2 linked regions of the Tribolium castaneum genome follow. The protein of the gene in region 1 purifies or fractionates together with the protein of each later gene. This does not show direct contact. Links are inferred from orthologs where the notes say so. Each region holds a gene or a part of one and is shown on either strand. Other genes may lie near its edges.

Evidence for each region. Proteins that work in one complex are often made in the same cells at the same time.
Region 2: the proteins of cell division cycle protein 123 homolog (region 1) and eIF2beta purify together in Homo sapiens (affinity purification with mass spectrometry; 4 studies listed by BioGRID and IntAct, counting the BioPlex papers as one, with this or other methods). This does not show direct contact. The link is inferred for Tribolium castaneum from reciprocal best matches to the Homo sapiens genes CDC123 and EIF2S2.

Annotation. Positions count from the first base shown.
Region 1 is NC_087403.1:2,024,987-2,028,592, forward strand, and holds cell division cycle protein 123 homolog, read right to left. Parts: upstream 2,249-3,606; 5' UTR 2,047-2,248; coding exon 2,029-2,046; intron 1,979-2,028; coding exon 1,835-1,978; intron 1,781-1,834; coding exon 1,688-1,780; intron 1,645-1,687; coding exon 1,443-1,644; intron 1,399-1,442; coding exon 1,276-1,398; intron 1,223-1,275; coding exon 1,101-1,222; intron 662-1,100; coding exon 557-661; 3' UTR 501-556; downstream 1-500. UniProt on the Homo sapiens protein: ATP-dependent protein-folding chaperone for the eIF2 complex. Binds to the gamma subunit of the eIF2 complex which allows the subunit to assemble with the alpha and beta subunits.
Region 2 is NC_087394.1:663,802-667,975, reverse strand, and holds eIF2beta (eukaryotic translation initiation factor 2 subunit 2), read right to left. Parts: upstream 2,801-4,174; 5' UTR 2,633-2,800; coding exon 2,615-2,632; intron 2,539-2,614; coding exon 2,142-2,538; intron 2,078-2,141; coding exon 2,057-2,077; intron 875-2,056; coding exon 535-874; intron 477-534; coding exon 293-476; 3' UTR 176-292; downstream 1-175.

The DNA of each region.
Region 1 (3,606 bases):
GAAGGAGAAGTAAGTGGTTTAAGTTACATTAACACAGTTAATATTTCGTTTTGATTATTAAACGTTGGGAAAGTACTTGTTTTAATTTTATCTGCAGCATGCGATTTTTTTTTGTTTTTGTGGTGGTTACCAAAGTTCCTCTTGTTGCTTGCGAAAATTGCTTACATTGCTTTAAAATTACCATAATCAGATTATCGCCCGGTATTTCAGTTGACTGTTTAAACCAAAGATATTTTCGTTATCAATTTCTTTCCTGGTTTGACGTATTTGAGTGCGGTTTTGCCAAAAAGCCAAAGATTTTACCCAAGTTCTGAAATACCAGGCGTTAATGTGATAAGCATTACCCACTTTTTTAAAAACTGAGTGCTTGGTTTAGGGTTTTTTTAATTTTATTTGACGTTCTGAGTTCTTAATAAAAATTACTTTCAGTAACTGTGTACTTTTATTTCTCTCAACCCTACTAAAGATTTTTATACTCTCGTTAAATAAAAAATACAATCTTTTAAGAAAAAAAACTTTTATTCAATTAAAAAAAATCGCTGTTTGACAACAAGACTTAAGTAAATGCGTTCGCAAATTTGTAAATTGCATCAGTTCTTGACATGATGCCAATATCAGAGTCCAAATATCTGAAGATTGGAGCGACTTCTTCTGGTACTTCCTAAAGAGATAAATGAAGAAATTTTGATTGGCTTTACATACATAGCGTGAGTTAAAGTAAGGCATAAAAAATCCTCAAACAGGTCGATTTTATTTTGGTAAATGCTACATTTTGACACCATGGTAACATTTCTGACGTCACAGGTTACTGAATTGTGTCACCAGTTCTAATTTTTTTAGATGGTAACCGATATTTTTGGTTACTGTTTTTGGCAGTATACTCTTATCTTTCTGGTATAAAAAAAATTTAAATAATGAATTAAAAAAAAATCGTAGAAAAAAGAAAATAACATAAAAAATATTGTTTAATTACATGTAAAAGGCTTTATTTTATAAAGGATTGTTTTTTGCTTATTTTGAAATATTACAATAAATATATGAAATAAGACAATAACAAGAATTTTATGCGTAACTTTAAACTCACTGTATTTCGTAGTTACCTTATCAAACAGAGAAGAAATTTCTTTCCAAGAAAATGCATATAAATTCGTTTTACTGTTTAATGGCCCAAAATCAATAATACATGGTTGGTCCGGAAACGATATTATCACGTCGAAAGTATCTAAAATGAAACATCGTTTGGGTTACAAGTTATAACATAAGACCTAAAATTACAGTGTCTTTTTGGGAACACGTCCGCAATATTTTCCTTATAAAAATTGCTAAGAGTCTCAATAATCACAGGACCCTCATCTTTGAAATGGGCATAATACGTTGGCCAATCTCTAGGCGTTATACCTAAAAAAATCAATCAAAATTCGTGTTTTTTGTGACTTTTGTACCTCTTAAGACTTTGTTGACGACAATGCATCGGAATTCGCTAGCGGGGTGAATACTTTTCCAGGGCTTTAACGCTATATAAAAGGGAATACTGCTTTGGGTTGAAAAGTCCTCTGAAATAATATTTGAGGCGGAGAGGAACAACGACAAGTCATCTAAATTTGTAACTTTCAACTGGTTCCCAAAACTGAACATTTTAGCATCCTGAAACACCCCTGTGTGGTTGAATAATTAATTGAAACCCTACCATAGGTGCATGCCAGTTGTTTTTAACAAAAACGTTCTTATCTAAAGTGTTAATTGCATTTTTTACCTCAGTCACGAATTCGTGCGGACAGATCTAAAAAAGTAAAAAAGGTATCAGAAAGAGGGCCAGACCGACAACGGAAAATACTTCTTCGATGTTTACATCGGACTCATCTGACTGGAGTTTTTGCAACAAAATCGGCGGGATTTCGATTAGAATTGTTTTGAGCGCGACAGATTGGAACTTTTCGTACCAAAAATGAATCGAGAAAAGTTTCAAATCTTGCGATTCCTGTAACGGAAGCGGTAGAAAACGATTTTATTTTTTATTTGAATACAAACCAACATGGTGTGACTCATAACCTCACTGTTTCGGATGGTCAATTTTTGGCGCTTGATACGTCCAGTGTCCAAAGATGAATTATTTCATTCACTTCATTTTTATCAGTTACACAAAAAAATGATAACAATAACAATAATAACAAGACGTACTCGAAAGATGTCGCGCTTGTGTACGGATTCCTGGACATTACAGTCGACCAGACAGACAATCGCTGCGCGCATGGAGCTAGCACCATATCCCCATCATTCTCGTTTTCTACAGTCAAGTTCACACCAGGAAAACTATCAAAATAATCGTAAATCATTATAAAAACATCAATAAGCTGTTACGCTGACTTGCATATCACATTTGTAGAACATCTCCTGACCATTCTAATGTGTTTCTATTATAAATTAAAACTTAACTGTATTTAATTTCTGCATTTTTTATTCTCATATTCAAGCAATGCAAACTGATTTTTTTTCACCCCCTTTATATCCTGCAATTTTCTTTATTTTTGCAGGAAATTAAGCCCTTCGATAGGCCCTTCGACTGTAAAAATGAATGAATTTGAAAACTTTAAAAGTTTACATCTTGTTAAAAGATGGTTTTATACGCAAAATGAGCCGCTGAATTCAATGGAACAAACCGCATTGCTCTACGACTTTTAGTTTTTGAGTTATGAATTATTTTGGTAAATAAAATTTTTCACTATAGATATTGCCTATCTTAATTTTTAGCAAAAAACTTTAAAAGTTTACATCTTGTTAAAAGATGGTTTTATACGCAAAATGAGCCGCTGAATTCAATGGAACAAACCGCATTGCTCTACGACTTTTAGTTTTTGAGTTATGAATTTTTTTTGGTAAATAAAATTTTTCACTATAGATATTGCCTATCTTAATTTTTAGCAAAAAACTTTAAAAGGTTACATCTTGTTAAAAGATGGTTTTATACGCAAAATGAGCCGCTGAATTCAATGGAACAAACCGCATTGCTCTACGACGTTTAGTTTTTGAGTTATGAATTTTTTTTAGTAAACAAAATTTTTCACTATAGATATTGTATATCTTAATTTTTAGCAAAAAACTTTAAAAGTTCACATCTTGTTAAAAGATGGTTTTATACGCAAAATGAGCCGCTGAATTCAATAGAACAAACCGCATTGCTCTACGACTTTTAGTTTTTGAGTTATGAATTTTTTTTGGCAAATAAAATTTTTCACTATAGATATTGCCTATCTTAATTTTTAGCAAAAAACTTTAAAAGTTTACATCTTGTTAAAAGATGGTTTTATACGCAAAATGAGCCGCTGAATTCAATGGAACAAACCGCATTGCTCTACGACTTTTAGTTTTTGAGTTATGAATTTTTTTTGGTAAATAAAATTTTTCACTATAAATATTGCCTATCTTAATTTTTAGCAAAAAACTTTAAAAGTTTACATCTTGTTAAAAGATGGTTTTATACGCAAAATGAGCCGCTGAATTCAATGGAACAAACCGCATTGCTCTACGACTTTTAGTTTTTGAGTTATGAATTTTTTTTAGTAAATAAAATTTTTCACTATAGATATTGTATATCTTAATTTTTAGCAA
Region 2 (4,174 bases), on another chromosome or scaffold:
CATGCAAAATTTCCATTCATTCCGACAACAGGAACATTCAAATTTGGCCATAACGTTACATTTTTTTAAAACATAAAAACGGGTGTAACTTTGATACAATTTTTTTCGTTGTGTTTTTTGTTAAATTAGGAAATGTTAGACTTAGGAAATTGTAGTTTAGTTCGGTTTGAAATAATTTTTCTTGTGTCACAATCTTGTTTATTCAACAATTGGCTAATTACGTACAAAGTGTACACAACACCTACTTTGAATTAAAAATAAGTATAAATATTGCGCGCCTCTAACCTACCATCTAGGCTGTTTTCGCTCTTATTGCAGCACGTTTTGAGGTAACAGCCTGGAAACCTGACTTGATACTTGCTACTGAACATCTGGAACCACATGTTTCGCATTGTAAAAAGAATAATCGAGTGTCCTTCTGGAGAATTGTATCGGGGGAACGACACGTGTGACACGTGACGTACTCTTTAATATACCTGTAGAAAAAAATAACAGAAAAATTTGTGACGAGGGCCGAAGGCACGAGCAACTAACCTTCTTAAAACATTTTCGATTTGTTTCTGTTGGAAGCGACCTTTGATTATCAATTGACTGTTGCCGTCCACTGAACCGCTTGTACCTAATTCAGCCAATAGAAAATCGAGTAAATGTTTCGGTTGACGATGGAGCATTTTACAGATTTCTGTAAAATTGGCAAATGACGATTTTTTAGTACCAATTCGGACGACTTGTGGTGGTCTCATAACGAATTTTTGTTTTTTGCCAGCGGCCATATCGGGATTTTTATCGCGCATTATTTCAAAGGCACGTTTCAAAAGCTCATCGTAGGTGTAATCACGATCGGAGGTCATCCAAACGGCTGAGTTTTCATCCACTAAATAACAAAAATTTCAGTTAAAAAAATAAATCAACACTCATGTGAATGATGGTATTACTTGTTTTTTTACCTAATTAATATTAATTTAATTACCTAATTGATTTATTGAACGAAATTTTTGGTAATAATAAGTGTTTTTTCAAAAACAAACAAACAAATCTTAGAGACTTTAGTGTTCAAAAAAGCAAGAATATCCGAATTTTTGGCCAAATGCATAATTAGTTTATTGGCAATTCCAAGCAAAATCTTAAAAAAAAAACATTTGTTAACAAAAAAACCTCCATAAACGCCCGAAAAAAATACGTTATTTCCAACTTAAACATGTATTTTTTTTAAATATTTGAAAAAATTTTTGTAAAAAGTGAGTTTAACTCAAATAAAAAATAAAACAAAAAAAATGAACTTTTAACCCAGTAGACAAAAATATTCGACTTATACATTTTTCAATAAAAAACCAAACAGGGGAAAAATATTTAAAAAATCTATTGATCATTTTTGTTTTTTTTTCTCTTAGTTAAATCTTTACCTTTTAATTTTCTTTTAATATATATTTTGAGAAAATATAAAAAACACTAAGAGCAACACTAATACCATCATTTAAGCTCTTTTACAAAAATGCACAATAATTATAAGTCATTTCCGACTAAAATGTGTAATATTTTGAGTTATTTGAACTAAATCTTGCTAAAAGTGAGTTTTTTTTATCTAGTCACCTAAACTAGCTAAAATCAACTACTAGTTGACTCATTCGGAAAAAAACATTCTCGAAATAAAAACTCAAAGGCTTAAAAAATGCAAAAATAACCATAATTGAGAGAAAAAAAAACAATAAATTTTTTTGGGTTGTTAAACGCTCAAGAAATACGAAATTTTTGTTAAATCCGCCCTAACAAAAGCCAAAAATAGTACGTTTTTATTAAATTTTCAGAAAAAAAAAAATATATGAATTTTTACCTATAGACAAACAAACTTATTGTATATAATTATCAATAAATATTTACCAAAAAAAAATTAAAAAACTCTCTTAAGAGTTAAATCTTTTTTTTTAATTTTCTTTTAATAAATTGATATTTCGAAAAGATAAAAAAAGTAAGAGCTACACTAATACCATCATTCTTTTTTACGAAATTGCACAATAATTACAACAGTTGTACGTATTTTTAATGAAAAAAACGTTACCTGATTCCGGAATTCGCTCAACTAAAGTGCAGCATGTTAGACAAACAAGAAAATAATCCCCAAAAAACCTCAAAAAAATAATTACCATTTTCCTTGTCTTCATGCTTCTCATCAGCCTCTGCGATCAGATCCCCCAGATTCTTCTTCTTCTTTTTCTTCTTGGTTTTACTGAAGTCCACTTCCAGGTCGAAGTTATCATCAAGAGCCCCCTCATCCTGATTCCCCCCTTCGTTCCCCTCGTCCTTCCCCTCCCCAGCAACGGCGTCCAAATCCTCGGCCGTGAAGGGCTTCTTCTTCTTCTTTTTCTTCTTGGTGAAGTCCAAATCTATATCAACATTTGCATCATCTTGCTCGTCCTCCTTGGCAGTGTCGGGCTCGGGGGCGGCGTCTTGCGCGTCGTTCCCGCCCTCGGCCAACGCCGCCTCGATATCGAACGCGGTCTTCTTCTTCTTTTTTTTCTTTTTGAGCGAAGGATCGAAAATCTGGAAATTTATTTACGATAAAATCGTGCACATAACCTTACTTTTGGCCCTGACAGATTGGGCCTGTTTTACTCACGGCGTCGTCCTCTGCCATGATTTTCACACTTTTGGGGCGCTTTTCACTAAACAGGAAACTTGGCTTCGGTGGGGAAAACGGCTAAAACTGCGAATTTTCCGGAAAAATCACTTAAAATCGCTGAGGAATTATTGCATCAGCCAACTCGAATAACCACACGTGAAAAGTGGCAAGGCGGTGCCAACACGAAAAAAATTAATTCACCAGATTGGAATTCAAAAAGTTAGTTTTTTTTGTGAATTTCTTAACAAGATCTTAGTTTTTATCGTTATTTTACATGATATTTGCGCTTTTTGTTAAAAAACGCTCAAAATCATGTTATTTTCAACGTATTTACAAATTTTGTTTTAGTTTTAATTTAATTTTGTTGAAATTTAAACGATATTTCGCGAAAAAAACATTCGTAAAAACACTAATAAAGGACAACAGTAATATAATTGTTTATTAGATAGAGTGTTTTTTCGTCTATCTTAGCGAAATGTTGCAAAAGACTGTTTTAAAAATTATTAAAATCAAAATAATAAAGGTAAGTTTTTCGCCTTATTTTTGACGAAATTTTGCTCCAAAATGATCTAAATTGAGTGGAACAAGTTAAAATAACATCAATTTAGATGATTTTTTAAAGATTTTTAAAGAAGATTCTATTTTTCGAAATATCGAAAAAAGCATGTAATTTTAGTTTAATCTGTTCTAATTTGTGATTCTCTTCGTTTAATAAAAATCTCACAAAAAAAACCTTTTTTTGGATTAAAAAACATACCTAAAGGCTTTGTTTTTGACCAAAAATCGAACTAAATAATATTATTTTTACCTTTTCTTTGAGAAAGCTTTTAAGGAATTTTTTCAAAAAATTCTTTAGTTCGAAATTCAAAAAATTCAAAACAATGATTAATAATTTTAGAAAAAGATAATCTATGACGTGACTTTTTCGGTCTTTGCCTAGATTTTAGGTTTTTTCTGTTTATTTTTGATTAAATTTTGCTTATTTTCAATCAAATTTTTAAAAAATATCAGTATACAATGTAAAAATACGGTCAAATACTCGAAATAAAGACTAAAATAATGTAATTTTTGATGTAGTTAGTGATTTTTCGGTTTGTTTAAAAAAAATAAAACTTTTGTTCAATAACATTTTCTAATGGTCTGAAAGATATTTTAGACTAAATTTTGAGTTTTTCGGTTTATTTTTGATTTAATTTTGCTTAAAAACTAGCTAAATCGGGTGAAATAAGTTAAGATGTTAAAAAATACCTAGAAATTTTAGTCTATGGACGTATTACCGAATTGAGAAATGTCAAATAATATTACTTTTGGCTAGATTTTAAATTATTTTGGTTTATTTTTGATTACATTTTGCTTATTTTCGATCAAATTTGATAATTTTTTTAACTAGTTTCAAAGAATTTCTTTTTTAAATTTAGTTTTTACCGCAAAAATACCGTCAAATACTCGTTAAAAAAATACTTGTTAAAAAAAACAAAAATTCCAGTTCAAAAACGTGTCTAATGCTTTGAACGATGTATTTACTGAATTTTGACTTTTTCGGCTTCAATTTCGTTT